7 linked regions of the Cricetulus griseus genome follow. The protein of the gene in region 1 interacts with the protein of each later gene in a pairwise test. Links are inferred from orthologs where the notes say so. Each region holds a gene or a part of one and is shown in the gene's direction. Other genes may lie near its edges.

Region 1 (3,454 bases):
CTCTTCCTTAATGAACTCACCCGGGACAGGCTTCCCTCCTTGGCTCCCAGCTAGCAAAAAGGGCATCACAGGAGAGAGGGACAGAGAGAGAGAGAGAGAGAGAGAGAGAGAGAGAGAGAGAGAGAGAGAGAGAGAGAGAGAGAGAGAGAGAGAGAGACTGTGAGGGGTATGGAAGGGAGGCATGAGTTTTAAGTGTGTGTGTTGTTCATGTATAAAGAGACTTGTGCTCTCTTGTCCAAAGTGAGATGAGGGGCCGAAAGGAGGCTTCCAAGAGGAAGCCTGATCTTATGGGAGTTGCAGGGAAGACAAGGTTGCTTATTGCCATGTGCACAAAGGTCCATGTCAAGGGTAGATCTCCGCAGCATATTGCTCAGCCTGGGTTTTAGAAACAAACTCCTTGCTTCCCCTCCAAATACAGGGAGAGGCATACCAGCTCTTCCTCTCCCTGGAAGCCATGGTTCTTTTGAGAGCTGAGGATAATAATGAGACCCGAGCTTCACCCTTGGCATAACCACTCATGTAGTCAGCCCATGACAATTATTGCTGGCCATTGACAAGTAAAATATAGGTTCTATCTGTCTTACTACATATGCCACTCAACCTGGCCTCTTAAAAATTGCTGGCTGTGGACTGGTAGGATGGCCCATTGGGCAAAGGCACTTGCCGCCAAGCCTGACAGCTTGAGTTCAATCCCCAGGACCCACAGGTAGAAGAGAGAGCTGCCTTCTGCCAGTTGTCCCCTGCCCTCCACACCAGTACTCGTGCAGACACCCAAACTAAACAAATACTATAAATCTTTGTAAATTGTCAGACTGGTCAGGTGTGGGGGGGTGTTTATTTTGCATGGTCTTTGTTTCCAAGGCTGGATGATACCCCTTCATGTCCTGATTAAGAGGCCTGGGAGCAGCCCCAGAGAGTGTTCCCAATCCACTGTGTCAAGAGTACTGCAGGCCAACCTTTCTTTATCTGAGACTCCAGTGCTTTTTGCCTGCATTGGCAACTGGTTTCCTTAGCTGTTTGTTCTCCCTGGGGCATCATCTGCTTCAGGCAGACAGAGTTCAAAGGGAACCCCATTGTCTTGTGCCCGGGAACAGATATTGTCTGTCCTCTTCAGGGAGGGGGTACAAAGCAGTGTGGGGAGTTAGGAAAAGTGCAGAGGTGGCAGTGACTTGCCTTGGTTCAAGAAACAAACTGAAGTCAAGGATCAGGTGTGCCTTTTGCTTTTCCACCCTCTGCCCGGTGTCTCTACATGGGTCAGTGTTCAGTAACCCTGGTGACTGCCAGGTAGCAGGCAGGAGCAGCTAGGTGGTGGCTGTCTTTAGCTGAGTCGTTAGTGGTTTTGTGCTGTGGATAACTTTGTTGACAACAAAGGTCCATAAAGTCCCCATTTTGTGTGCCCCACACTTCGTGTGCAGGTATGCCCTTCTTGCTTAGGGTTCAGGAACAGAGCAACCAACTGTTGGGGTTATTAGCAGTACACACCATGAAACAGTGCAAGGTTGCACATCGGGCAACAGAGCCATTCACTGCTGCCTGGAGAATCAAGGCTTGCTAATGCCCAGAAAGACCTGGGAAGACTGGCTTTGGTCATGATGTGACATGACATCTGGAATTATTTGCAGGATATGGAGGGTAAAGGCTCTCTAACAAGGGTCTTGGGAGATTTAGAAAGCCTACGCCCCTGTGAGGAGGGATGGAGACCCAGTGCAAGATTAGATGCATCACGGCGTGTGCCTCGTTGGCATACATCACCCACACGACCCCCTTCTCTTGAGACTTCCCCAGCCTGCAGTCCTCCTAACTCAGCCATCAGCCCTACCTTTGGTGGAACTCCGATCTGCTGGTGGTGAGATCCATGTCGAGTCTCACTTCTGTAGAGTCATTTAAATGAACATTCTTAATAAATGTATTTGTCCATGTTGGAGTGAACTGGTAGCTTTGCAGACAACTGATCCAGCCCGTTACACAGACAGGGAACAGGGCCTGAGGAGATGGAGAGTTGTCCCAAGTCACAGTGGTTCTAGAGTTCTAGAGCAGGTCTGTCACCTGCTTCCCTTGCTAAAACAGCAAGGCGCCAGCTCACCTAATTCTTTTACTCTTGATGGAATTTTGGAGAGGCCTTGCTCCAGCGATTTCTTGGAACTTTCTTTTCTAAGTAAATGGGAAATCTGTCAGGAGAGCCTTGGAGGCCAAGATGGCTTCCGAGAATACTGACTAGAGGGGAGCAGAGTGGGGGCCCCTTCCTAGGTGCCTGGGGTTTTGTTTTGGAAACTGAGTGTCTTGGAGATTCTTCTGATTTTGCTTTTTTTTATTTTTTATTTTTTGCAATGTTGTGCTTTGTTTTGAGACATGGATTTTTTTTTTTTTCTTCTAGTGTTTCTCTCCAGAGGCAAAGCCCAACACACCTGTCTTTTGTCCTCTTCTCCAGCAAATTAGATTTGTCTCTGGGAATGTGTTTGTCACATATCAGCCTACTGCAGACCAGCAGAGGGAGCTCCCATGTTGAAATTGTTAGCAACCCCCACCCCCCTTTTGCAAAAAACAAAAAAAATCAAAAAAACAAAAAACTATTTCTTGATGATATTTGAGAGATTTCAATAAAAATTTCAATCAGAGGGAAAATGATCTCAAGTAGACTACAGAGTTTGTTTTCATGGTGCTACAATTTTGGAGCAAAAGTATTTAATCTCTGGCTGAGTTTGTGAGTACCTGGCCCGTAGAAGCTAAGTTGCATGTTTCACGGGAGCAGATTCTGAAAGAGCACCCTAGAAGACTGCGCCCAGCTCCAGGGCTTCATCGATGCCGCTGCCATCTTCTCGAGCTCCGAAACCACCCTGAGCTTCATGTTAGAAGATCCTCGTGCCAACAGGTCATCGGCTACCAGAAGTTCTTGCATCAGCACCAACAAGGCTGCCAGATCTAGCTAGGGGACACATACTGCTGTGTGCCTGCTCTGTTCCCAAGGAAGGGAAGACCCCCAAAATGGGACCTCCGTTATTGAGTTGGATCCCATTTCTAGTTCGGTTCTATCTAGTCATGAGCTACAATTCTCTCTCTGGTTTAATGGTACTTATGTACCATCAAATCCCATTGCTTTTGATCTAATTAATGGTGGCATACACCTGTAATCCCTTCTCTTGGGAGGCAGAGTCCTAGCCAGCCTGGGCTTTAGTGAGATTCTCTCAACTCCCACCCTCTCCAAATTGGGTAAAGTAGCAAGACAGCAGTGTGTAGTGCCTTCATATTTTTACGGAGGGAACTAGGACCCTGTGTAGCCAATGTCCAACTTCTAACATTAGCATTTTTTGCATAATCGTCTGGTTTATCCTCAAGGTCACTGATGTTTGCAGTGTACTAAGTACATTGTGTGAGTCACTGGATAGAAGAGTCATGTTTCATCTTCCGATTTCTGAAAGGTAAAGGCAGCATACAGACCCTCACATCTTTGTCCTTT
Region 2 (4,833 bases), on another chromosome or scaffold:
TCTTTTATGAGATGATTTGCTAGTTGCATAGTTTTTTTCTAGCCTGTTGTTTTTAGCTACATCATGGTCCAAAGTGGCTGCTGGAGGTCTAGCTTTTCTTTTTTTTTTTTTTTTTCGGTTTTTGAGACAGGGTTTCTCTGTGGCTTTGGAGGCTGTCCTGGAACTAGCTCTTGTAGATCTGGCTGGTCTCAAACTCACAGAGATCCGCCTGCCTCTGCCTCCCGAGTGCTGGGATTAAAGGTGTGTGCCACCAATGCCAGGCTGAGCTCTAGCTATTCTATGAGCGTCCTATACACAAGGATAAAGACATGAAGAAAAACTTAACAGAAGTTCTACATGGTATCTCCCCCCCCGCCCCGTATTGGGGAGGCTAAGAAGTGCATCTCTGTGGAAATGGGCATCTGATGGAGATGGATTAATGCCTCCTGCGGCGGGGATTCCCTTTCCTGGCATCTGATGGAGATGGAGATGGATTAATGCTTTTGAAAGAGGAAAGAAATGAGAGTTAGGAAGGCAGATCTCCAACCATCTCTGCCATCTCACTTTTCAGTTGCATGACTTAAACATTTTTTTTCAGTTTTATCTATAAATGGGTGTTTTGCCTGCATGTTTGCATGTGCATCAAAAGATGTCAGATCAGCCGGAACAGATGGTTATGAGCCATCATGTCAGGGCTGGGGACCAAACTTGGGTCTTCGGAAAGAACGAGTGCTCTTAACCACTCAACCATCTCTCCAGGCCCTTCTTTGATTTTCTTACTCTGATGACTTTATGGTCTACCTAGCCTCACCAACCTACACCCTTGATCTTGTCCAAGATACTGCCAGTGCTGATAACTCCAAGGCCTCTGAAATCTCAGTGGCAGGCATCCTACTCTCCAAAACCACTTACTTAATCATCTTCTCCGCTCACTCCGATACCCTCATGCCCATCAATCTTAGACTCCATTGGGCCCGCCATCAGCCTGCTTTGCCTTCACTTTCTAGTCTACTGGTTTCCAGTCGCTGGTCCAACGGTATATTCCCAGCCCACCATGCGCTCCCAACTCCTCTGTTGCCTCCTTGGCCAAACTTCATCTTGAGCTGAATGCATGCTCCCACACAGCTAATCACAGTAAGAGAAAACACCACTATGGTGAACTGGGCACCACATATAAGTAAGCCTTCTGCAGTACTTGCCAGGCACACTTCATGCGTCTAGTCAATTCTCTCTTCCACCCTTCATTTCATTGCTTCCTGGGACAATGAAAACGAGGTCGCTCGGTAGAGCTGTAAGCGGCATAATGAAAACCATTCGAATGTGGAACCGCTCCCTACCGCTGTCAAGCAGTTTGATGGGATCTTGTTAAAGTGCAGATTCTAATTCTGTACCCAGAGCAGGAGACCTCGGATTTGGCTTCTCTGACGAGTCCGTGTCCCATGGCTGGACGGATTACTTAGGAAGACATGACTCCGAAAGCGTATAGACTTCCATCCAGATACTAGCGCCCGCCACGCGAGAGCCTGGCCCCCAACCCGGACCCTGACCCCCCTCGCCCCGCCCGCCCCACCCGCGCCCCGCCCACCGCCGCCCCGCCCCCCCGCCGCCGCCCGCCGCGCCCGCCCCGCCCCAAACTGGAGGCAGGCACGCACGCATTCACCACAGAGACGGCGGCCGGCGACGGTGGCTAGAGCGGCAGGCGACTAGGACTGGGGAGGGGGCGGGGCTGGCACGCAGGGGGCGGGACAAAGAGGTTTTGTGGGCGGGGCCATGGACAGAGGCGGGTCCGCGCCGCGGGCCTTGTAGCCATTTTAGGAGGAAACCACCCGTGCCGCTGGCTTGGGGCGCGGCTTCAATTTCAATAACTTTATTGGTCTCTCTGTGCGCCCAACAGCCGGCGTGCGCGTGGCCCCGCGATCCCGGAGCGCATCGCCCGAGGTGAGCGGCGCGAGGGTGTGCGGCGCCGGGGCCGCGGGGTAGAGGTGACTCCCGGGCGGGTTCCCCAGCCGGAGGCGTCCCCGAAGTGGACCAGGGAGGGGACCCCGGGCGCGGCCTCCTGCGGCGGGGATTCCCTTTCCCGGGCGCAGGGGCGGGGCCGGGACGCCCCTGACGCGGCCGCGGGGGTGTTCCCAGCCCGGTGTCGTTCCCCGCGGCAGGTTGCCCCCGACTCGAGCTGCAGCCATGGGAAACACCACCAGCGAGCGGGTGTCCGGGGAGCGCCACGGTGCCAAGGCTGCGCGAGCCGAGGGCGGCGGCCATGGCCCGGGCAAGGAGCACAAGATCATGGTGGGGAGCACCGACGACCCCAGCGTCTTCAACCTGCCCGACTCCAAGGTGAGTCCACGGGGCTGCCGGCTGCTTCTCCCTTCTTGGTTCTTCCTCCTCACTCCCAAGGGTTACGGGTTCATTTTATTTTATGACTTTAGAGGGCTTTCCCGCGGACAGGGATGTTGAGTACGAATGCCTCCTAGGTGCTGCCTCAAATGAGGATAGAGGCGTGGAGTTGTTTTCCTGCCCTTCTGACTGATCTGCGGGCCATACTTTCAGGACCGGTACCAGAGACACGTCCCCTGCCCGCCCCATCCTTGGTTCTGCACCACATCTTGCCTTCTTGTGGTGGAGCTTGCAGGATGTATAGGTGGTGAGCGAGCTTGGAAACTTAAGAGGTTGCCTTGTTTGAGCTGCTGCTTCGGGCTCCGTTTCTCACATTGGCCTCGAGATATTTAAATGTATTTCTTTTCCCTGAAAATGCCTTTGTGTAGATATCACCTTTGCTCTCAGGGGCCCTGCGTCCCCTTTTTGATCCTCGTCCCCGTTTGCGTGACTCTCAGCAGTTATCACTTGGTTACTTGAATACTTTCGCCTAGTCTTGGTGATCAGAACAGTGCATCATTTGGATAATGGCTTCAGGTTTGTTTGGTTGGTTTTTTTTATAAACGTGGCGATTGTGACTGTGCTTTTTGCACACCTGGCTGTGCCTTGTGGGAGAGCAAGTTACTTCCCTTCACTCCACTATAGTGCTTCGAAATGTTCAAAATGTTGCCTGAGGCTCAAAACCACCCACAACTGCCCGAAGACTTTGCCACCAATGCCAGAGACTTCCAGCCAAAGGCCCATTTTTGTTCACCCAAAAGAAGAGGCAGATGGAGCCGACAGCAGTATGATTGCTACCCTAATGTTCCTAATCACTTTTAGAAATGTCAGCATTAAAAACATTTAATTTCTCAAGTAGGCTGTCAGGAGTGAAAAAGAAAAACCAGAGGGTTGGAGATGATTGGGATATACTTGGCGCCTGTCACTTTATCCCTTCCCACTGCACTGAGGCTTAGGATAGTGAATAGAGTTTTATTTACCTCTTTGACAGCATGTGGAATTTGGATTATATGGCTTGTTTTCTTGAGTCCTGATTGAGGACTCCGTTAGGGAAGTAAGAGATGTTGAGCTGTGCGTTTCTTGGGGTTCCCTCTTTGTCCCCACTTTAGGACTTCTTCCTCGTCGTTGGGGCTCTGTGCTCAGCCTGGATTTTGTTCTCCAAAGCTTACCCAGGGTGACAGGCCGTGTATTTTTGCTCATTCCTACATGGATGACTCAGGATTTGGGTACATTCAAACTGTGACTGCAGTAATTGGTGTCCTGAATAGGAGCCAGCTTGCTCTGTGTGAATTCAGGCCTGTTTTGGAACATTCTTTCCCTCACATCTTGCCGTTTGTGAAATGAGAAAAGTAGTTCCAACAACCCCCCCCCCAGTCTCATGAAGATTAAAAACTTTATAGTTCACATGTCCTCCCCCCACTGATTTTTTTTCCTTAATCATCTTCAGACTGTAATTTGAATTGCCGATTTGCTGCTGTTGCTGGTGGTTCAACTCCAGTAAACAGTCTTGCTGCGTTCCCTGCTACCACAGAAATGTCATGTCATAAGTGGAAGGGCTTTGCTCCAAAGCCAGGTGTATTAATAGTGTAGAGCTTTCAAATCCTGAACTGAAAATCCTCCGTCATAAAAGTAACTGATAGAGACAGTGGGGTGGGTGGGGGGCATCTTTGCTCTAAAGGTCAGGCTTTTTAGTAGACTCACTAGGGTTCTCCATCCCTTTTGAACATTAGGATCCCTAAGATTGTTTTTAAAACCTTATGGGAAATCTGACACATTTATAAACTAGAACAGTACAATGAACTGTGTGTATGTCACCCGGTTGAAATGGTGCTGAAAGGTCACGAATGAGTGGCTTTCTGTGCTCCAAGCCATTGTCCCACCCACTACTCTGAAACAGATGCCAACAAATAGTATTTCTAACATTTTAGGGTATACCTAAAAAGGTGATTGTTCTTTAAAGCTGATACAGTAGTGGCTCACTCCTGTAATTGCAGCTGTTCAGAGACTGAGGCAGGAGGGTCACTGCCAATCCGGAGTGAGAATTTGACCCCCCTAGGAAAAAACAAAACACGTTTTCCCTGTTTATTGTAATATAAGTACAGTATAATTATCTGATAGCTTTAAAAAAAATATGTTCTCAGGTTCTGTTTGGGAATTAGAATCTGAGGGTTGTTCTTAGGCATTGGTAAACATGCCTAATGCAGCCATCAACCCCCAGTGCATTGCTCTGAGACTGTGGAGCCAAAGCTTTGTCTTAGCCCAGTCTCCTGAATAATGTAAAAGTCCCTTCATGTTCTTTCTCCTTTTACTTTGGTTTGTACTTGTACAGTAGTTTTCAGAACTATTGGAAGACAGAATGAAAGGTAAATTTTTTCATTTTAGATAAAGCAGGGAAAAGCCCAAATCAGCTAGTCTTTTCTTTCTCTAACCTTTACTGTGTTGTATGTAATGTTTGACTTGATGCCATACAGTCTTATTCCA
Region 3 (4,258 bases), on another chromosome or scaffold:
TTCTGTCCCTGCTGATGTACAACTGAATTTTGGAACCACTAGCCAGGAGATAGAGTTGTCAAATGAAACAACCCATTCCCTCAAATTCTCCCCTTTGTCATAAAAGAATATTTTTGTTCCTTTCTCACCAGAACCAGAATATTATTAGCAAGTATTTCTGAGCACCCAGATTAGGTAGGCAACACACAAAACTTTTGTGGAGTGTATCTCTGTTTATTAATTGGATCACTCAGGCATGCCCTACTTATGAATCCTTATTCTGAGAAAAGAAATGCAAAGTCATTCAGTCAAGTAAATACATATGATCTTTTTTCTGTGTGTGACATTGACAAATATCTATCTCCCAGTACCTTAACACATTCACAGCTCATACCCTCCATAGACAAGACTGGTTTTATAGAGTCTCCTTGTTGGTGCACCCAGCAGCTTTCTCCAAACATCCCTCAATTATAAGCTTCTCATAGGCTCCATTATAGGACTATTGTCCAATATCAGATGGCTATTACCACTCTAAAGTGTAATTATTGCATATTTTATTTGTAAAGCTCAATGTCGTGTATGAGGGTCAAGTAACTGTCTTGACTGTGTGTTAGGTTTATTCTGTGAAAATTGATAGAGTATGAAATTGCTTCCTACTTATACCAATGTGGACCCAACATACTGGAATTATTCCAAAGGTTGGTGTATATATTTCTAAACAAAATGTAGAAATATATTTAAGGATTTTAGGAATAGTATGTCAGATTTTTCTATACTCATCATAGAAACAGTGTCAGTAAAGAATGAAGATGGATTTTTAAAAAATGGAATACTGGGGTTGGTGTTAGAGGCTGAAATATTAAAAGCAAAAACTGTACTTGTGATGCAAACAAGGGCTGTATTTGATGTTTATCAGTCAAAGAGGATGGGTTCAGATGGTACATAGATTCTCCCATCTAGGAAATGTCTTTACTTTGGTACCTGTTGACATAGCAAGTGAATGCCAGCCTAGAGCCCTAGAACTTTGTTTTTTGGTTAATAACATAATATAAAAGGTCAAATTCTAAAGCCTTTTATTATTTGGGGAAGGGGGAGGGCAAAGTACAAATGTAGAATGGTACTTGCTTATCTACATTGTTAACCAAAAAAGTTTGTTTCTATTCATTTCATGTGATTTTTCTTTTGTTTATTAGAACCACAAGTTCAAAATTTATTATAAGAAAAGGTCTTTCCTTTTTTAGGCTTGTTACTTTTATTTTTGAGAAGCAAATGCTGTACAGTTGACAGAATCGAATAACCTTAAAATTGCATGAAGAAGAACTGTTCTTAAATCCACGCAGCATGACTCCGTAGGCAATGTGACAGGACTTGAGCATTCACTGTTGAATTCCCGTGCACACGTTTTATTTTGTTTGATTTTTTAATTTGCATGTCAAGAAACTGGTTCCCTTTCTTTTTCCTCATTATTTCATTTATTCTCTGTGAAGACACTGTACATTTATTTTGATCTCGTTTTCTTTTTGTTTGATTTCTTTTCTTTCATAGTGATGTTTAGAAAGGTATTTTTTTTGTTTGTTTGTTGGTTTGGTTTTCGTTTCCATATCCATCTTTGAATTCTTTAGGGGTTCCAGCTAACTGGTGACAGGAAAAAAATCTCGTTCACATTTGTTGCTTAATGACTGCACATCGTAGTGTTCTTATAATTTCTCTAATTTGCATGTTACAGAACTGAAGCCAGGACAAGAAATAGCAATGAAAGCGAGAGAACTTTACCAAGTGGTCGTTGACTGAAATAATAATATGCATGTTGTTCTCCTTCTCCCTCCTGCATGCAGGGATTTGGTTTCGTAACTTTCGAAAATAGTGCGGATGCGGACAGGGCGAGGGAGAAATTGCACGGTACCGTGGTAGAGGGCCGTAAAATCGAGGTGCATGTCCAAAATATTTTCCTTTCCTCTTTTTTTTTTTTATAAATGTCTGCTTCACGCTCATTTGTCCTTCCAGGTGCATCATTGGTGTCTCGTGTGTGACCCTACTCCCTTCTCATTGTTTATATATATTTATATATATATATTTAGATATAAAAAGGAAAACTGGCCTTACTTTCTGTTAAATTTTACTTTACATTATTCTTTATATTACTGCTGGAGATTAGATGGCAAAAAAAAGTGAGATGAAAGGGAGGTTAATATGAAAGGTTCTGTCTGTTTGTTTTATTTTATTTTCCATGTTTTATGAACAATGGGTGCAATAGGTTCCAAAGAGGACACAGTATCCAAACAAAACCAAATATATATCAAGTTTTGTTTTATTTTGTTTCCTTTTTAGTCCACTTTAGGGTTGAAGAGGGATCCACAGTGGTTTGCAAATTAGACCAAATTTCCAAGGCAATGACATTTCAAAATATTAAAACAGAAAAAGTGAGAGGCACTTGTCATTAAATCTTGCTGTTAAAAAAACAAAAGCCAGCTTCAATTTCTGCATTCAATGATTAGACATTGAATAGGCAATCAGCATTTCCCGCTTAAGTCATGGCCCCTGTCAATTGGAAATGTAGACCCTTCGTTCTGACATTCAGCACCTGCCCTTTGTACCACTGGGTTCCTCTTCAACACAATCAAAGGGTCATATTTGTTAAAACTTGAAAAGAAAAAAATTACCAGTTAAAAATGCTTTAGTCTTTGGAGTAAGATGTCGCATATTTTGCCTTTTTATTTTCCCCCCTCGACGGTAACGCTTAGGCCCCTCACCAAACCCTCAGTAACCATGGTAACTGTATACAAACCCATGCTGGCGATGGTGGTGAATGGTAAGTGATGAAGTCCATCTGCCGCTTCACGTATTTAGTGCTGATATATCTCTATACATATCTCTCTACCACGTGGATTTTTTTGACTTGTTGTATTAAGTTTTCTTGATGCTCTATTTTTTTGGGTCTTTGGTACGCCTGTAACTGAGTGTACGTTCTAAGCTAGCCTGAGAGGCTCTGACTGGACTGAGTTATGACCAGTGCACATCTTACTCAGATCGTTAACTCCATATTGTGTTACACAATGCACCCTCTCTTTTATCCTTTTGTTAGCTGTGACCTTAAAGCTTGAATGATTCGTTAATTCTTGCAATGTAAAAGGCTCTTGTTCCAAGTGTTGAATGCTAGATGTTGCTTCCCCATGGTTTCCCTTCCCAAAGTGTTGCACACGGCTTAAACTTGTCTGTCCCTTTCTTTGACATTTATGTTCCCTGTACTTTGTCTCCTCTCCCTTCTCCACTGCATGCCCCTTTCATATTAACTTTATTTTCTGTTTAAAAACCTATCTCTTGTTTCTGTGTTACCATGGAGCACACGCATGCTTTTAAATCTTCAATTATGCATTATCTTTTAATTTGCTTTTACTGTCTCTTTATTAAACTTTTAAATGAGATGACATTGCTTTATTGAAATGATTTGTAAGTTAAATCTGTTATGAAGTAAATGTAATTATAAAAATGTATGATTTTTGGGTTATGCACCTATTGCCATTTGTAAATTAAAATGCATTTCAGTTTTTGTTTAAGTTTTTGTTTCTTGGTTTTGATTTCAATAAGTAATCACAGTCATAATGCATGCAACTAATTGAATCATGGGCTGGCCTTGGCATCCAAACTCACTTGAGTTTTCTATGTGTGTAGGTTAATAACGCAACAGCACGTGTAATGACTAATAAAAAGACTGTCAACCCATACACCAATGGTAAGTAGATACCTGCCTACCACAAGATACCTTCTTTGCCTACAAGTCCACAGTGTTCTTTAACCAGGGAATCTGTTTCTTTTTCATTTTATTCTTTGAAAAGTATTATACATGGATACATTTTATCTTACCACATGTACTCCCAACTCCCCCCTCCAATCCTTCTAAAGAATCCACATCATATCTCCCATCCAACTTCATGTCTTACTTATTCATGTTAGCCCACTGATTTCAACTAGGGGTGATGCACTGGTGTCAAATTCGTAAAGAAAAGTGACCTTCCCAGGCCCAGAAGCCATGGACTGCCAACAACTCCTCAGCTAGCAGTAGGGCCTGAGGATCCTCCTGCCCTCATATGCTAGATTTTTTTTTAACTGTGCAGGACTTGGGCAAGTAACTACAGATGATTAGAGTTCATGGGTGTCATATACCACATTGACCTGACCTGGCTACCATTTCATTGCTGACCGGCTACAGTGAACAACAGCCTAGAGATGATTTTTCACAGCAAAGCAGATATAGTTTTCTAGTTCAGCCATCCCATTTCTC
Region 4 (4,252 bases), on another chromosome or scaffold:
GGGAATGGTGTTGGCGAGGCTGTTATGCCAGGACAAGGTGTTGGGTATGAGGGTGGGTGGGGGCCTGAGGGGTGGCTTGGAGCCCTGGCGGTGGCTGCCTGACGTCACCGGCCTCTCTGGCAATAGGCTAAGAGCTGAGCTCCTTGTAGCAGCAGCGAAGGCAGCAGCGGCGGCGGCAGCGGCGGCGGCGGCAGCAGCAGCAGCAGCGCGGTTGTCTCTGGTCCCTGCGCTCCGCGCCTTCTGCAGCTGTCACTGCAGCCAAGGCGGGGGCTCCTCTGCAGCCGGCTGGCCTTTCCAGGTAAGAGACAATTGTCCGGCTGAAGGCTTCCATGGCCGGGGGGTCCAGCGGCAGCATGTGGGCGGGTAAGACCACTCCCGAGGCCTGCGCAAGCACCTCTGGTCAGAGGTTTGGCCCCCGCCCCTGCCCCGGCAGAGGCTAGCGCTTTGCCTTGCTGCTCCGCAGTGCAACAGTTTGCACCTGCCTTTTGGGAGAGGCAAGGGAGCTGTACTGCCTGCTGCGGGTCCTCCTGACTTGGTCCTCTGCCACAGCCTCTGGGCCCTGGGGTCAGGGCCCTGGGAAGGCTGGAAACAAGGTCGGTTCCCCCAAACTTTGCAGGCGGGAACCCTTCCCCTTCCAGTTCCTGCTCTGGGAGAAAGAAAAAGGATACAGGATACCGTCAAGTGGGAGGCTCAGGGAGATAAGGAGGAGGGGGGCGTTTGCGAGGATGTGCCTCCACTGAGCAGGGTGCTTCAGCTGTTTTTGATGGGGAGGAAGGAGGAGGAAGGTAGCAGGGAAGAAGGCTGGAGAAAGGTCGAGCATGATCCTGTGTGCCAGATCCAGCGTGTCAGCTGTGGCCAGGGACAGAGGCAGTGGGATGTATCTCCTGGGACTGGGACCTTGGAGATCTGAAGGTTCAGGCTGGAAGTGTCTGAATAGGGAGGGATGGAGAAGGAAGGCTGCATATAGGGAGCCTGCTTGGAGCGAATGCTGGCTGGATCCTGAGAAGAGGTCCACAGAGCTCGGAGAGGAGGGCAGTTGGCTTTCTGGGAAGTAGATAGAGAAAGCCAGCCTTGGCGGCCGGCCGCTGTTGGTAACAATTAGAAAGTTGTGCAGGGGGCAGGGCAGCTGCCTTCTCTGCTGAGTAACCAGTGTCTCCGCGGTGCGGTGCGGTGTGGATGCCAGACCCTATCTGAGCCAGCGGAGCAGCTGGCAGCTGCTCTCCTGCGCTGCCAGGAGCGGTAGGATTGGGTTGGTGGGTTGTGGAGATGATAGCGCTCATTTGAGGACCACTTAGCAGTGGTAGCATATCCCTCTCGTTCGCCGCACTTGCCTTGGCAGTGGCCGGGACCCTAACTAATCCTGTTCTCTTTGCAGCACGGTGCCCCGGGAAAGGAATCTGGGCTCTTGGAGACAAGATCAAGGAGGAACGGAGACAGTCTCCCTGGGGCCACTAGCTCTGGTCAGCTTGCTTGCAGGCATTTGCTCCCTCAGTCTTTGGCTGGAGCACTCACTCCCTCCAGCGCCAGGGAGCAGTTGGGGTGGCGTGGGCTCTTGTCCTCGTCTTGGCCGGTGGGAACTGTGTGTCCAACAGAGGAAGCCCAGTGGGCCTGGCCCCTCTCAGCCCAGCGCCGATGAGTGCCAGGGCGCCTAAAGAGCTGAGGCTGGCGCTGCCGCCTTGTCTCCTCAACCGGACCTTTGCTTCCCACAATGCCAGTGGAGGCAGCAACGCAGGTGTCCGAAGCTCGGGCGCAGGTGGTGGCACCTGCATCACGCAGGTGGGACAGCAGCTCTTCCAGTCTTTCTCGTCCACGCTGGTGCTGATTGTCCTGGTCACTCTCATCTTCTGCCTCATCGTGCTGTCCCTCTCCACTTTCCACATCCACAAGCGTAGGATGAAGAAGCGGAAGATGCAGAGGGCTCAGGAGGAGTACGAGAGAGATCATTGCAGCGGCAGCCACGGTGGTGGTGGGCTGCCCCGGGCAGGTGTTCAAGCCCCAACCCATGGAAAAGAAACCCGGCTGGAGAGACAGCCCCGGGACTCTGCCTTCAGCACCCCCTCCAATGCCACCTCTTCATCCCCTGGTCTCCTGTGCCAGGGTCCCTGTGCACCTCCGCCTCCACCGCCAGCCCCCAGTCCACATGGAGCACATGCAGCTTCCTCCTGCTTGGACACAGCTGGCGAGGGCCTTTTGCAAACGGTGGTACTGTCCTGATTGTGTAGCCCTCTCCCGACCCCTTCCTCATTTCCAGCATCTTTGCCATCCTTGCTTTTGTTCCTCCTTTCTTCCTTTTCCGTTCTCCTCTGGCCCCTCTTTCCTCTGCCCTCTTTCCTTACCTGCCCACCCTTTTACTGTTTCTCCTCCGCCGAGGCACTGTGCGGTATTTGTAAATATTGGGCGAGGAAAGTCTCAGAGGAAGAAATAACGCCGATAATACTTTATTGATATTTATAGTAATTATTATACTATTAATAACACAGTCCAAGCGCATGACAAATCACATAATTTCTCATTGTCAATGATGGCTGCATCTTCCCTCTCCACCCCGTGCCCCCCTCTCAGTAAGGAGGAGAAACCGCACAAGCTACCAAATATATAAAAGACAATGACACAGGAGCAAAGGGAGGGGAGGGGGCCGGTGATGTTGTATATAGCTGTCAAGTGAAGGTTTAGTAGCCTTTCTGCCCCTCCCCCACGGGCTTTCACTTTTCCTTTAGCTTCTCTCCCCTCCCCTTTCCTCACCTTCAGCCGGGCTCAGGCATTAGTAATTATAAATGAAACATCTACATTAAGCACCAGAGACCACAGAGAGTGTCCCAGAAAAACGTTTAGGACAGGTAACCCCTCTCTAGTCGGTCATCTCTTCACTTTTTGGTTCCCCTGGGCAGAGTTTTCGAGTTTACTTTTAGAAATATCTCTCGCTGGCCGAGCTCAAAACAAAACAAAACCCATATTATCTGCTTTTGCCTCCCACCCCCATCCGTGGGACCCCACTTGCACACTTGACTGGTGGCCTGGCCTTTTTTGTTTTTTCTTGAGCCTCAGAGACATCGGGAGCTGTCCAGCCATGTCTGGTGCTGAAAATGTCTCGCCTTCATGGTTCCTTCCTCTGGTTGTGCAGGCCAAAGAAGGAGCTGTTTTGGAAAGCGATTGTCTTGGTTTTGATTGGTTTCTTTCTTCTTTTTCTACAATTGGATTAGCGTGTACTGTTGTTTTGCTTATTATTAAACATTTAATAAGTTACCTTTATCTAAAAAAAAAAAACAGTATTGGGTAATGTGCAGTTCTGAAAATGCAGTATCTAACCAACCAGTATGTTTCTGTTTTATTTTTAGAACAAGTGCACCTTTGTTATATACTTACTATATTGGTACCAAATACAGAAGAAAACTATAGTTCTGTGACATGTCCTCCAAACTGTATACTCTTGTTCTGACTTTCCAGCTGTTGATATAATGGTTGCCACTGGCTGAGGAAGTCAGTGGTGCAGGCCTGGCTTCTGTTTCTGGAAGTGTTCTTTTGTATTTTACTCTGTAGTAGACCATTATAAAAAGATGACACCCACGTTTCCCTTTTTTCTTTTGTGAATAACAGAAACAGCCACAACAGAAAACAAATAATGGATGTGCAAGAATGCCATCTATTAAAAACATGGTTAATATTTCAACAGTGCCTGTAGTTCTCTGCATGCAGTTACCACCTGGAGGCAGTGGTGTGTGTGCTTGCTTGTACTGTATGTGTTTGGGGGAAAGACTGGTGGAGATGTTGGGCAATTTGGATGACAGGACATGCAAATTTCCAAGTTAAATCAGTAAATGCTTACAGGATAAAAAGTGTTTACAGCTTGTTTAGTTACAACTCTGTGCCTGCATCTGATGTACAGCAATGGAGGATCTTTCTTTTTTCTAAGTCTGGCCTAATTAGCCTCTCTGAACACATAGAAAATATTGAGGAAAAAAGAAACTGAGAGAGAAAGTTGATCTTTTGTCTTCTCTTCAAATGTCAGATAAACCCACCTATGTTAGACTCTGATGCTGGTTATAAAGCAGTGGGACCCCCACATATATCCCTCTCCCAAGCCACTAGTTGCCCTCAATTCTCTGTCTTGTTTTAAGTTGTATGTGTTTATTATACAGAGAAACGATTGCCTCTAATATTTTTGGATATTATAAAGTTCCCCAAGCTCAGTCTGTATCATTATGAAATAAGTTAATCAGGTTGATTTTAGTCACTCATCAGCTGTCCCTTTCTG
Region 5 (4,107 bases), on another chromosome or scaffold:
TGGAATTTGACCTGGAGGCCCCTTGAATTTGAAGCAGATGTGGAGCAAAATGACTTGTCACTGGTCCAACGTGACTACAACTCATTCCTTAGAGCCAGCCGTACCCTGACACAAAGCTCTTCTGGCTTGTTTAAAGCACTGCTTCCCAGTGATTAGACCCTAAGAATTGTTTAGAGGAGGGTCAACTATCAGCAAAAGAGCCCTACTTCCCAGGTGCTCTGGGTTTCAGGCCCTTTGTCCCACCTATCATTTACATTTCAGGGGTACTGGGTGTGTTCCCCAAACAGAACACTTGCCCTGAATCCTGGGCTTTGAACGCCAGTAGCTAAAATGCCAGTACCTGTGGGACTCTGTCTTTGGATAAATGAACACAACTCTAAAGCAGAATCCAAGACTAGAGGCCAGCTTCTCCCCATGACCTGATGATCTTTACAGATAGGCACAGGGGAACTACTGAGGACAGAGGGGACCCTTCAACAAGCAGCATGTCCTCCTCCTCCTCCTCCTGCCTTGTGAGCGAGGAGGTGGCTTATAGGATTTTGATTATGGATGCCAACATAATAAATCTCTTTAAATAACACATCAGCGAGCCTGCTTCTTTTTCTACTTTTTTAGTACTAGGACTCAGACTCTGGGCCTTGTGCATTCAAGGTACATGTTCTGCCCCAGAACTACCCCCAGCCAATAAGTCACTTCTGTGAGGAGAAAATGATCTGATTTAACAGAGGGCCCAAGTACACTGCATTTTTCCCAGTCGTCCCAGGAATGTTTATTGAGTTCCTGCTGTGCTCCAGTGTACAGTGCTGTATATGGGGGACAGAGCAGAACAGCGTCGTCTTTAGGTGTTTGGAGCTCACAGCCTGTTTCCAGCTGAGGCCCCATGGCTGTCCCCACTCCTGACCTTCACAAATGTGATGGTGTTAAGGAGTTACAAAAGACCTGATTTAAAACCAGGGTTATCATTCACTAAATGTGCAACCTCGGGAGGTTAGTTAGCTAACCTCCCTGGGCCTCCGGTCCCTCGTCTGTGAAGATCTCTGCAGCAGGCTTGGTGTGAGGTGTGAGTGCGGACAGGGTGCATGAGCTAGCCAGGCCCACAAGAGGTGGCCACAGACTGGGAGGGTGGGGGAGGCAGAGAAAACATTGAAAGGGCTGGCTTTGTCCTGGTCCTTGCTGTACCCAGCTCCAGGATGAGGTTGGGGGAGTCTGATTTCACAGGACGTCCAACCCCTCCTCTGTACTAGGCTCTCCCAGGGCCCCAGCTTCTAAGGGATCCTGTTGCATCCTCACCATGGCCTTGGACAGTGAGGCAGTTCCGTTTCAGAGATGGGAGGTTGAGAGCTCGGCCCAGAAGGCTATCCTCCCGACACCAGTCACTAGAGGGCGCCAGGGCCCAGGGGAACGGTGTTGAGCAACCTCCTTACTGTCCTTGCAGTTCTCCGGAGTCCACAGACCAATAACCAGGGCCTGGAATAGTGGCCCAAGGGCTCCACAGTGTGGGAAGGAGGTGGCAGAGAAGAGGAAAAGCCAGAACTAGGGTACTGGAGAAGCCCCTGCAGCTTTTCCCACTCCTCAGGGACACTGCTTAGATTTTACCCTTCTGGTCACCTGCTCCGCCTCTGGTCATACCTGTGTCTCTGCAGTCCTTCTGTCTGTCTCCAGGTTCCTTCATTCTTTCCCTCTACTGTGACTGGCACTCTCTCTGTATGCTTATTATATCTCTCTGAATGTCTGGTCTCTCTCTCTCTCTCTCTCTCTCTCTCTCTCTCTCTCTCTCTCTCTCTCTCTCTCTCTCTCTCTCTCTCTCTCTCTCTCTCTCTGTCCCTCTCAATGTCTCTGCCCTCCCACCTCTTCACCCTGCAGCGGCTCACTGCTGGCCTCTCTTGCCCGCCTCCTTAGACTTGAAAAGGGCGGTGAGAGAGGAGGGAAGGGCAGTGTGGTGGGCCCACCTCTTTTTGCCTTTCTAGGCTGGGAGGCTGGACCAGTGGGTCTTTTAACGGCCTGGGCAGCCTGTGCAGATCGCCAGCCCTGAATGCCGTGCCTGGCTCTGCAGTCCCAGCAACACAGTCAGCATGCAGCAGCAACCGTCGCCAAGATCCTTGGCTCCTTCTGCAGAGCCCACCAAGCCCCCTTACAGCTACATAGCCCTGATCGCCATGGCTATCCAGAGTTCACCGGGGCAGCGGGCCACCCTCAGTGGCATCTACGGCTACATCATGGGTCGCTTCGCCTTTTACCGGCACAACCGGCCGGGCTGGCAAAACAGCATCCGCCATAACCTGTCTCTCAATGAGTGCTTCGTCAAGGTGCCCCGCGACGACCGCAAGCCAGGCAAGGGCAGCTACTGGACCCTGGATCCGGACTGCCACGACATGTTCCAGCATGGCAGCTTCCTCCGTCGCCGCAGACGCTTCACCAAGCGCACAGGTGCCCAGGGCACCAAGGGCCCTGTCAAGGCAGACCACAGACTCCTCAGAGCTGCCAGCCCAGACCCAGGAGCCCCCAACACCACTACTGGCAGGCTGTGCCCATTCCCACCAGAGGCGCCAAACCCCAAGGGTCTAAACTTTGGGGATCTGATGGGGTCGTTGCCAGCCAGCATATGTCCGGCAACTAGTGACGCCAGGCCCCAGCTGGCCACTGAATCCAAAGAGATGTGCTCGCCCAAGTCTGCATGTCCAAGGGAGCTCACTGAAGCCACCTCGCCCTCCCCGTGCCCAGCATTCAGCTTTTCGGCTGCCTTCCCTGAAGCTGAGAGTCTTGGCAAGGCCCCCACACCTGGAGTGGCCCCTGAGGGCGCCGGGAGCAGCTACCAGTGCCGGATGCAAGCGTTAAATTTCTGTATGGGAACTGACTCGGGCCTTGAACATCTCTTGGCCTCTGCAGTACCCGCCCCTGCACCCTCGACTCCTTCCGCCTCTCACCGGGCCCCATTGCCCTTGCCAGCTGACTCCAAGGAACCCTGGGTGACTGGGAACTTCCCTGTCCAGGGAGGTTCCGGGTACCCCCTGGCGTTACCTCCTTGCCTTTACCGGACACCAGGAATGTTCTTCTTCGAGTGATTGACTGCAGCAGTCGCTTCGCAGGGCCTCTGTGAACTACTCTCTGAAGACCCTGGCTGTGGGACCTAGGGCACTCTTCAAGGACCCAGCCCTGGCAGGCCAAGGACTGTGAGGACCAGAAGGCCGAAGTGAGCCATCAGCCAGGTCCCGGGGCCTCCTGACAAACTTGGGATGAGGGGAGGTGGGGCCCTCGGATTTTCTCTGTGGTTCTCAGGGCTAATAAAGCCAGTGTAATGGTGAGGGTCTGTCTTCTGAATAGCTGGGGCTAAGGACCAGGATTCTGGGTTCTATGTGGGGCACTCTGATATTGGGGGTACAGCAGGGGTTGGGAACTCATCTGAAAAGGTCCTGCTTGAGACTTTCTCCTGTTGGGGACTTTCTTGGGGAGTTTCCCAGGAAGGGAAAGTAGGGCATGAGGGCAGGCAGGGGGGAGGTGCAGCCAAGATCCACAGAGTATGGGAAAGTTGGGCTAGCCTAAGAGGCTGCTTTCTGTCCTTGAATTGTAGCTGGACACTCTTTATGAAGCCTCATCATGCCTACTGCCACACCCTACCAGGCTTGTTTCTGTCCTCTTGCCTGGGTTCTAGGGACTATCAGGCCCATTTACAACAGTAGGAGCCCAAGCTCACTCCAGCTCCAGGGAAAGTTCAAAGGACTGGCAGAGAGCAAAGGGTACCCAGGTCTGTGTGGCTCTGACTCAAACTGAGGGGGGAGAGCTGACCCCAGGCAGCATAGGATGGCCCCAGAAGGAGGAGCTGCATCTTTCTGAACACCAGGGCAGAGAAGACACCCTTCACCCTTGTGCAGACAGGGAATCCAAGTCTTAAAGGCAGCACCCATCTTTATTTGAACTCTCCACAGTAACGGAACCTCTCCTGGGTCCCTGAGTCCCTGAGGTCTCCTGGTGACTTTTTGCCAAAATCATATTACATTTATTTGTGAGTGTGAGAGCCCCCTCCCCTTCCCCCACACACACAGAGGCAACTTGTGGGAGTTGATTCTCTCCTTCCACCAAGTGGATCCTAGGGATGAAACTCAGGGGCCG
Region 6 (5,058 bases), on another chromosome or scaffold:
CAGCTTCTAAGAAACAGTCAAAAAGGGACGCCCCAACAGACAGTGCAGGAAGCTGGCTGGCCAGCCCAGCCCTCCAGGTCCCTACTACCACTAGACAGACCATATCCAATTTAGGTCCCCTTTCTGAGAAGGTACTGATGCTTCCCAGAGTCACACCAGTTCCAGACATATTTAGGGGGGAGAATTCTCCTAAATTCTGGCCAAATACCTAGCCTGCTTCAAAAGTGACCATGGTCCACCCATGAGGGCTAAGCCACTATGGTGGAAAATTCTACTCACCAAACTTGATATACATTTGCTCAGACTGCTGTAATGAAGTGTCACAAACTGGGTGAATTTTACAGCATAGTTTATTGTGTCACAGTTCTAGAGGTTAGAAGACCAATATGTCAGCACGGTTGGCTCCTTCTGTAATCTACTCTTGGCCTTCTAGTTTGTTTTCTTTGCTCTCTTTGCCTTGGAGAACCATCACCTCATGGCTGCCTGCCTTCATTCAGTCTTTCACTTCCTCTTCTCATCACTGTTCTATGAAGCCCGTGTTCTCAGCCTCTACAGACCCAGACTCCTGGTTCTCATGCTAATGGTTTAACCCATGAGACACTGCAGTTTTAAACTCAGGGCCACAGTTCTGATGATCCCCATGACATGATAACAAAGAAGCAATTGGCTTCCAGAACACTTCTGTGCTCCCCTGGCTGTTTGCAGAAGCCATATGCCCAAGGCATGTAGTACAGTAGACTAGAGAATGACATACACACATGTACACATCTACAAAGCAGGGAGTTGTGAACTGTAGACATGGATGGATACATACTTCCTAGACCAAGATGTGGAGACATCAGCCTGGAATGGTGACTTGTAATCCCAGCACTCAGAAAGCAAACAGTTCAAGGACAACCTGGCTATATAGTGAGTTCCAGGCTAGTCCAGGCTACATGAGATCCTATCTAAAAAGAAAAGGTTACAGGCTATGAACAAACTGTAGAAATATGAACCTGGGGTACCCCTTTAACTAAAGATCCCTCACTTCAAGATCTGGTTGCCTCTCTGACTAGAACTATAAGATCCAAAACAAAAACAAAAGCCATGCCCCTCAGGATCTATAAGGTAATGGGGCTCAGCAGAGGGGCTTGGGTCACCATGGAGGGCTTTAAGGAGGAACACAGAAGACAGGTCTGGCTAGGGGAAGACGAGATGCTGCAGGAATTCCAAGCTTGGGGAGCAAAGATTGGGGCAAGTAGGGATGAGGCTAATTTGGGGAGCTCCCAAGGGCCCTGGATCAAGAAATCCTGTCCCTCCTTTTTCTGGCACCTGCCATGTTAACTCCATGCAGGACAAAAGCCCTGAGCTGTGCAGTCCTGAGTTCAGTTACCTACCTGCATGTCTACCCTCCATCTAATTGCTTACCTTTGCATGCAGCCACATCGGACTGCCATCTGCAAACTCTACTCCTCCATTCTCCATCTCTGGCAATGATTACTTTGTCATAGCTGCTTATACAAAACCCCAGATGTCATCTTGACCCTTTCTCCCATCTCCTACATCTAAGCCTCCAGCAACTTCTCCTGACTCTGTCTTCAAAAAAAGACTTACTATCTAGCCATTCCTTACCAGCTGCTCTGCCATTATCCGGGTTGGTAGCAGCAGCATCACTGACCTAAACTATTGCAGTCCACTTCTCACTAGTACTACTAAGTTCCCTGGAACCTTCCCTCTCATGGCATCCAGCTGACTCTTTTGAGCTCATGCCCAAGTCACTGGAATAAAATAATGAAAAGAGAGTCCAAGATAAGCCCCAGTAGAATCAGCAATGACTGTGGCCCATACAGAATGCAGGGGGTACCAGAAGGCTGAGGCTCCACAAACCAACTCCCCATTGCCCCACATTCACAACAGGACTGTGAGGTGTATGCAGGCAAATCAAGTTCTGGACATGTACATGTGGGGGATAAACACAATTTGTGTTTTATACATATATCAGTGTATATGTGTAAGAGAGAGGAGGGCTCGGGTACACTATCTGTATGGTTCAAGTGGATGAATGTCTTACACCACCCCTGGAATGCATGTGATTCCATTCCACTGTTGTTCCTGCAGCCTGCCTCTGACAAGAACCCAATGCCCAACCCCAGGCCAGCCAAGCCCGTGGCCCCTTCCTTGGCCCTTGGTCCATCCCCAGGAGTCTTACCAAGCTGGAAGACTGCACCCAAGGGCTCAGAACTCCTAGGGACCAGGGGTCCTGGGGGAACCTTCCAAGGCCGGGACCTGCGAGGTGGGGCCCACACTTCTTCCTCCTTAAACCCCCTGCCACCATCACAGCTGCAGGTGAGGCCCGGGGCCCAGAATGGGGCAAGCAGGGTGGGGTACCTGGGCCTATAGGTGCCGACCTTTACTGTGGCATGTGGCAGGAGGGGGGCTGGCTGGGGCACAGGAAGTGGTTTATGGGTCCCAGGCAAGTCTATGACTTATGCAGATGTTGCAGGGCCAAGAAAATCCCCACTCTCCAGGCTTCAGAGATTCGAGGCTTCCCCCACCCTCCCAATCCTTGTCCCAAAAGGAGACCTTATTATGATCCCATGGGCATAGCCATGTGTCCCCATCTCACTGTGTCAAGAGGAGATGGCTGGAGCCCAGGAAGGTAAGGTGACAGTGTTGGGGCCAACTCTACCACTTTTAACTGTTTGATATTGGTGAATCATGTCTCTATGAGCCTCAGATTCCACGTGTGTGAACTGGATATGTTAACAGTCCCTACTATGTGGAACTTTAGTGAAAAGACGATGATGAGACACAGGACTGTGAAGCTGAGGCTAGCATCTCATGGCATCTGCCTTCTCCTTCCAGCTGCCTACAGTACCCCTAGTCATGGTGGCACCCTCTGGGGCCCGACTAGGCCCCTCGCCCCACTTGCAGGCACTTCTCCAGGATAGACCACACTTCATGCATCAGGTATGGAATCTGAACAGGCTGGGAAGAGGGAACAAACAGGATAACTGTAAGGCAGAGCACAAGCCAGCCTGAGCCATGGTCCATATATGTTCCTCAGCTCTCCACTGTGGATGCCCATGCCCAGACCCCTTTGCTACAAGTGCGCCCACTGGACAACCCAGCTATGATCAGCCTCCCACCACCTTCTGCTGCCGCTGGGGTCTTCTCCCTCAAGGCCCGGCCTGGCCTGCCACCTGGTAAACACATCAGCTTTCTCCCCATGGCTTCACAGAACCGCCAAGTCCTCAGATTTTTGAATATACACAATTGTAAACTTTTCTGAGTTACAGCCCTATGGAGGTCTAGAGGGGTCTTAAGAGTCATGAAAACACCAACCTCCAAAATCTGTCAGGCTTAGAACCTTGAAGACATAGAATGTCAAAAATCACAAATTGCTGCCATTACTCAAAATGTCATTACTTACCAAGGGCTGTCTTTAGGCTTCTCTGTCAGAAGCCTGCTCTGTGGGAACAGCAGAGTCCTATCAGTCAGTCTCCAAGGTCCAGGGAAGGTAGAGGCCTTCTGGGACAAGCTGCAGAGCCTCGCCTGCAGCCCCAGAAGTACCCTGTCTCTACTCACAGGGATCAATGTGGCCAGTCTGGAGTGGGTATCCAGGGAGCCAGCTCTACTCTGCACCTTCCCACGCTCGGGTACACCCAGGAAAGAAAAGTAAGTTGGCAGTGTTGGGAAGAGCCCCTTCTCTCCGCCCACCCCTCTGCTGACACCCTGGGTTCTCCCACCCCCAGCAACCTTTTGGCTGCACCACAAGGATCCTACCCACTGCTGGCCAACGGAGTCTGCAAGTGGCCTGGTTGTGAGAAGGTCTTCGAGGAGCCAGAAGAGTTTCTCAAGTGAGTAGCCTGACCCTACCCATGGGATTCTGGTGTCTGAGCAGAGATCGGGACTGCATATCTCAACTCAGAATCTTCTTGACTGATGATAAGAAAGTAGTAAAGGTTGAGACTTCATCCCTCCCTGGTTCTGTGATCTTGGGCAAGTTTCTGGGCTTCTCTAAGCCCAGGTTGCCTCACTTGTATGATGAGACATAATAATAATAAAAGTATATGTTGACAGTTATCTCCATGTGATACACAAAGGAACTAAGGCCAAACAGAATTAAGTGTCAATCAAGTTCACACAGATCCTGTATGATGGATGTTGCATATGAACTCAGGCAGACAGGCTCCAGAACCCACACTCCTAACTGCTTTGTCCTTCTTCCCATCATGCAATATACATTATGGAGCCTTGAATTTCTGCTCCTCTAGATGACTGTAGCTGTTTCCTCTCAGCTTTATATCTGCCCCCCTCCCCTTCTGTATTTTGCTAACCATACCTAACTCTTGGCAATGATGTATGACCTGCATGGCCAGGCCTTTGCATAGACTGTGCCTACCATCTGAAGTGCCATTCTCCCTCTCACCACCTTTCTAATAGCCCAGGCCTAGAAGCCAGCAGTTGCTGAAGAGTGTGTGTTTAAGGGTATCCAGGTGTGAGAGGGGGTGGGTGTTGTTGAGTGAGGGAAACTGAGACTCTGAGAAGAAATCTCCCAAAGGGTCTGGGCTGTCCCTAATGGCACACCAAGCCAAGAGGCCTGACCCACCATGATGAGCTACATGGAATTTTCTCCTTGCTCAGGCACTGCCAAGCAGATCACCTCCTGGATGAGAAGGGCAAGGCACAGTGCCTCCTCCAGAGAGAAGTAGTGCAGTCTCTGGAGCAGCAGGTAATGCCTGCAGGGTGTGGCTGAGGGGAAAGAAGGATGTGACGGAGGACCCTCCAAGGGAAGGCCTTAGTGCAGCCAAAGGTGTGGCTGAAGACCAGGTGGAGGCCTCACTTTGGTGTATAACCCCACAGCTGGAGCTGGAAAAGGAAAAGCTGGGTGCTATGCAAGCCCACCTGGCCGGAAAGATGGCACTGTCAAAGGCTCCAGCTATGGTGAGTACCCCAAGTCCCGAGGCAGACGACTTCAACTGCTGGGGACAAGAGAGAAACCCTTAAGGACCAAGTGATCTCTTCTCACCTCCTTAGATTGCTTACAACCTTCTGACCTTGCGACCCCAAAACATC
Region 7 (4,258 bases), on another chromosome or scaffold:
TGTGTATATGGCAGGGAGGTGGTGACCCTTAATCCCAGCACTCAGAAGGCTGAGGCAGGTGGATCTCTGTGAGTTCAAGGCATGGTATACAGAGGGAGTTCCAGGACAGCCAGGGCTACACAGAGAAACCCTATCTTAAAACACCCCCACCCCACTGCAAGAAAACAAAAAATAATGAAATGATATCTGAATTAGATAAAGTAGGTGAGTTGTAGAAGGATAAGTAAAATGAGGCCTTAACAATTGTTTCACTTGTCTGAAGAGCCATGGTTACATGAGTGTCCTTGAGTCCTAGAAGGGGAAAAAAAAAAAAAAAAAGCAGTTAAATGATTAAGAGGCATGTCTGACTTCATCAGAGCTAGCCAAACGCTCCTAAGCCACTTGTCATCTGATTTCCCTGGGATATAGGCTAGAGTTAGCAGTTTTTTTATAGAGAACTAGGTTCAGACATGGGCTTTTAAAGCCACAATCTCTTCAGGTGGTGGGCTGTATTAGTTCACAGGCAATGCTCTCATGCTTGGTTTGCTTGGTCCCTTGCTTCTCTGGTTTGATCTCCACAGACCTGCTGGGCCAGGTGGATCCAAGCTCTGGGTCAGACCTCCCTGTGACCTGCTGCTTTCTCTAGTAACCAGGCAGTCCCAGGACAGAGAATCTGTGCTTGACACCTGGGTGTGATATAGTTTAGCTATTTTATTATTATTCTTTTTATTTTTTTACATTCCAGTCCCAGTTCTCTTTCGAAATGTTAACATCTCACTCTAAATCTCTCAGTGGAGTCTCTGTTCCCTTCTCTGATATAACAGATGGGTTACTGCTTGTTATAATTATTAACGGATTCTGTGGGTTTCCCCTTCATGGTCTTGACTCCTTTGTTCATATATTATCACTCCTCCCTCACATCGATTGTATCCAGGAGCTTGGCCCATTGGTTAGTTGTGGATTTCTGCCTCAGAAGCTTGAATCCTCTTCCAGAAATATAGTTCAACTCTTTTTAAAGCTCTGTTATATACATATATGCATGTAGACTCAGAGTTCTACCATGAATGTTTTCCCTATCAAGAGTTCCAGAAAATACTGAAGATTCAAAATCATATCTGAATTTCTTAAATTACTAAGCAGTATTCGTGTACTTTATTTTTCTTACTGTCACAAATTGGAAAGCAAATTCCGACATTGGCAGAAGCTTGATTTGCTACTAAAGAAGGAGCATGCAGACTGGTGCAGTTTGAAACATCCCTTCCCATGTGTGTCTGTGTTTGTGTCTGTCCTTGTGTCTACACGTGTGGGTCTGTGTGGGGTGGGAGGTGTCTCTCTCGGGGAGAGGTAGCTGTAAAGTCAGTTCTCTTCTCTCCTGTAGGGTGGATATGCAGCCTACAGATATGCACAGCCTGCTACTGCAACCGCAGCCACAGCTGCTGCAGCCGCTGCAGCCGCTTACAGCGACGGGTATGTACAGAGCCAGAGCAGCAGGCTCTCGATGTCCTGAGCACCATGCCATCTGCAGCACCATTCCCTTCCCTCTTTCTCCATTTCCAGAACCACCCTTAGTCCCTGGGCCTCCTGCCATGGCAGCACCCAGGCCTAGCCTCTTCCTGTACTCTCATGTTCTATCTCTTCACAGCCAGCCTTCTTCCTCATCTGACCCCTTCTTTGCCATTTTAAAGACGTACATCAAGATTTCCCAGTTACTGCATTTGGGGAACAGACATAGGAAGGCTTTTTCCATCTGCCATTTTCCCTGCTAAGAGTTCAAGTCTATAGCACAGACCTCAGTCTCAGTGTCCCCTTTCTTCATGTGACCGTGCTTCTTTTTTCCAGCTACGGCAGGGTGTACACAGCTGACCCCTACCATGCCCTCGCCCCTGCCGCCAGCTATGGAGTTGGCGCTGTGGTAAGTTTATATATCTTTCTTTTTCTCTTTTTTTCTGTCCTGGCACTCGCTCTGGAGACCAGGCTGACCTCAAACTCACAGAGAGCCACCTGCCTCTGCCTCCCAAGTGCTGGGATTAAAGGCGTGAGCCACCACCACCACCACCACCACCACCACCCAGCTGTATACCTTTTTTCTTAAGCCATGTTACTCCTAACTTCTACACAAAAACTTTGAAAGATAAGGAGAAGTGATGCATTGTCATCTCATCTGTCGCCAAAGTGTAGAAGCTATTTGAGACTCTGGGAGTTTCTGTTACTTTCTTTACCTGTATGTCTGGAAAGGCAGTAACAAGAAAGGGATTGAAGGTGACAGTAATGATGTCATTTAGGAAACAATGAAGGGAGAGGGTTCTGGTGCCGGGTACATACCAGTAGCATAGTGTTCTTGAAAGTAGCAAAGGCTTGGGAATGTTAAGGTGCCCAGTTTTCACTGTAGTTAGTATATTGCATTTTTAATTACCAATGCCTAACGATGTCCCTCCTGTCCCATTGTCTTCTGGTATATAGGTAGTACTGGGACTTATAGTATGGTAAACACTGCAGAGGTAGATTCTAGAGCAGTTCTAGCAAAGTACATAGAGCAAGCTTGTCTAAAATAATCCGTGGGGCTAACCTTCTCGCTGCAGCCCTCTTGGATTTGGCTTAGATGCCTTTACTGCTGTTTGGGATTCACAGATATAAGGGCAGGCGACTCCATAATGACACCTGTTTCATTTCATGCTAAACAATAAATCCCCTACACTGAAAGAAAGACCTAGGGTAAGATTCCTGGGAAGGTTCACATGAAAAGAAGTAAGACACCAGAGAAAGTCAGTTGATAAAGGTGAAGAAATGGATTTATAATCAATAAATTCATATTTCATTCATAAAAAAAAAAGGTGAGGAAATGACCAGGGTGGCATGCACATCCATACCTCACATTCAAACACTCAACCACAGTATCAGGGAGAGGTTATCTTCCCATGTAGACTCATTCTCCCATTGGTCTCCAAACAGTACAGTATTTTAGCAGTTTGCAGAGTGCTTAACCTTGTGTTAGGCCTTTTGTGTCATCGCAGAGCGTGTGTCTGGTTATACATGAACACTAACTCTTTCTGACAAAGGACTAGTTGAGTTTGGGCATCCCTGGGCATTTCTTGAATCAATGACCCATGGATATTGAGACAACTATGTTTCATAGATTGTAGATAAGATCTGTCTCACTGGTTGAAAGGCTGACTCAGGTGTAAATGTAGCATCATCTCAAACACAGAATGTGACCACCTTTGCCAAGGAGAAACTGGAAGTGGCATACTCATAAAAGGCCAAGTGTGAGAAGGGGGTTCAGTGGTCCAGCTGCTATCAAGACACTAGTAGCATCACAAAAACAAACTTGTAGGACTTGTCTTTGTAGGACCAGTTGGACACTATGCCAGATCTGCCTTCACTGCTTAGTCTTGTAACCAAGGAGTAAGCCATTGTGCTGCCCCCACCAACTGGGCTGCCCGAGCAGGTGACAGTCCTGTCTCAGGACTTGTTACTTCATTTCTAATGCTTCTCTCATCACCTTTCAATTATTTTTATGTCTTTAATTACTGCAGGCGAGTTTGTACCGAGGTGGCTACAGCCGATTTGCCCCCTACTGAAGTGACGTGAGACCCTGCAAATGGGACAGCCCCCAGTTCATGAGGCCTGGCTATTGCAATATTTACTAGTAGAGGACTCTATAGCAAGATGAAGAGGAAAACAAACAAACAAAAAAGAGAGAATACTTTTTTATACCTCACTATGTTCTTTGAATATGTATTTTTCCTTTAAATTTCTGCCTTTAATTCTTTTGTTCCAAAGATTGTGCTTTTTTGTTTGTTTTGTTTTGTTTTTTGTTTTGGATTGGGGGGGTTGTTTTGGTGAGATTGTTTCTTGTTTTGGGGGGAGTTTTTAGGTTTTTTTGTTTTGGATTTTTGTTTGTTTTTGATTTTTTAATTTTTTTTAAACTGTGGTTAAAAAGAAAAAAAAAATACTGCATTTCCACGTCTGTATGTCCATGCTTAGCTTATTCTGTCAGTCACAGAAGACAGGAGGAAGGAGCTGATACATGTATTTGATCAGAAGCCAGCAGTCAGAATTACCAAAGTGTGTCTGGTGCTGAGTGGGGGGACAAGCAGGGTGGGGCCAGCTCTCCGGCAGTGCAGCAGTGTGCTCTTCTGGCCTGGCTTTGGCCACCTGAGACTCTCACTGGCTGTGGCTAGAACCCACATGCTGCTAGGTAGGAGTCTGTGCTTGTAAAAGAGGAGAATTTAAAAGATGCTTTTCTCTCCTCTTCCCTCCTGTCTGCATTGTTTTACAA

Evidence for each region.
Region 2: the proteins of Rbpms (region 1) and Prkab2 interact in binary tests that used the Homo sapiens proteins (3 or more experiments, as listed by UniProt). The link is inferred for Cricetulus griseus from reciprocal best matches to the Homo sapiens genes RBPMS and PRKAB2.
Region 3: the proteins of Rbpms (region 1) and Rbfox1 interact in binary tests that used the Homo sapiens proteins (3 or more experiments, as listed by UniProt). The link is inferred for Cricetulus griseus from reciprocal best matches to the Homo sapiens genes RBPMS and RBFOX1.
Region 4: the proteins of Rbpms (region 1) and CUNH11orf87 interact in binary tests that used the Homo sapiens proteins (3 or more experiments, as listed by UniProt). The two-hybrid records come from large-scale screens. The link is inferred for Cricetulus griseus from reciprocal best matches to the Homo sapiens genes RBPMS and C11orf87.
Region 5: the proteins of Rbpms (region 1) and Foxs1 interact in a two-hybrid assay, tested with the Homo sapiens proteins (2 studies listed by BioGRID and IntAct). The link is inferred for Cricetulus griseus from reciprocal best matches to the Homo sapiens genes RBPMS and FOXS1.
Region 6: the proteins of Rbpms (region 1) and Foxp3 interact in binary tests that used the Homo sapiens proteins (3 or more experiments, as listed by UniProt). The link is inferred for Cricetulus griseus from reciprocal best matches to the Homo sapiens genes RBPMS and FOXP3.
Region 7: the proteins of Rbpms (region 1) and Rbfox2 interact in binary tests that used the Homo sapiens proteins (3 or more experiments, as listed by UniProt). The link is inferred for Cricetulus griseus from reciprocal best matches to the Homo sapiens genes RBPMS and RBFOX2.

What each region holds. Positions count from the first base shown.
Region 1 is NW_023276807.1:51,013,356-51,016,809, forward strand, and holds the end of Rbpms (RNA-binding protein with multiple splicing), read left to right. Parts: intron 1-2,374; coding exon 2,375-2,506; 3' UTR 2,507-2,625; downstream 2,626-3,454.
Region 2 is NW_023276806.1:58,819,382-58,824,214, reverse strand, and holds the start of Prkab2 (5'-AMP-activated protein kinase subunit beta-2), read left to right. Parts: upstream 1-1,764; 5' UTR 1,765-1,917; intron 1,918-2,112; exon of another isoform or gene 2,113-2,135; 5' UTR 2,136-2,160; coding exon 2,161-2,313; intron 2,314-4,833. UniProt on the Homo sapiens protein: Non-catalytic subunit of AMP-activated protein kinase (AMPK), an energy sensor protein kinase that plays a key role in regulating cellular energy metabolism.
Region 3 is NC_048600.1:39,361,991-39,366,248, reverse strand, and holds part of Rbfox1 (RNA binding protein fox-1 homolog 1), read left to right. Parts: intron 1-1,814; coding exon 1,815-1,907; intron 1,908-3,648; coding exon 3,649-3,709; intron 3,710-4,258. UniProt on the Homo sapiens protein: RNA-binding protein that regulates alternative splicing events by binding to 5'-UGCAUGU-3' elements. Regulates alternative splicing of tissue-specific exons and of differentially spliced exons during erythropoiesis.
Region 4 is NC_048597.1:164,386,122-164,390,373, reverse strand, and holds CUNH11orf87 (uncharacterized protein C11orf87 homolog), read left to right. Parts: upstream 1-1,632; coding exon 1,633-2,214; 3' UTR 2,215-3,266; downstream 3,267-4,252.
Region 5 is NC_048599.1:27,073,589-27,077,695, forward strand, and holds Foxs1 (forkhead box protein S1), read left to right. Parts: upstream 1-1,831; 5' UTR 1,832-2,072; coding exon 2,073-3,062; 3' UTR 3,063-3,302; downstream 3,303-4,107. UniProt on the Homo sapiens protein: Transcriptional repressor that suppresses transcription from the FASLG, FOXO3 and FOXO4 promoters. May have a role in the organization of the testicular vasculature.
Region 6 is NC_048604.1:114,052,921-114,057,978, forward strand, and holds the start of Foxp3 (forkhead box protein P3), read left to right. Parts: upstream 1-2,118; coding exon 2,119-2,325; exon of another isoform or gene 2,326-2,844; coding exon 2,845-2,949; exon of another isoform or gene 2,950-3,046; coding exon 3,047-3,185; exon of another isoform or gene 3,186-3,569; coding exon 3,570-3,657; exon of another isoform or gene 3,658-3,734; coding exon 3,735-3,839; exon of another isoform or gene 3,840-3,921; intron 3,922-4,626; coding exon 4,627-4,714; intron 4,715-4,845; coding exon 4,846-4,926; exon of another isoform or gene 4,927-5,058. UniProt on the Homo sapiens protein: Transcriptional regulator which is crucial for the development and inhibitory function of regulatory T-cells (Treg).
Region 7 is NC_048595.1:374,338,568-374,342,825, reverse strand, and holds part of Rbfox2 (RNA binding protein fox-1 homolog 2), read left to right. Parts: intron 1-1,357; coding exon 1,358-1,446; intron 1,447-1,818; coding exon 1,819-1,891; intron 1,892-3,512; coding exon 3,513-3,557; coding exon of another isoform or gene 3,558-3,567; 3' UTR 3,568-4,258. UniProt on the Homo sapiens protein: RNA-binding protein that regulates alternative splicing events by binding to 5'-UGCAUGU-3' elements. Prevents binding of U2AF2 to the 3'-splice site.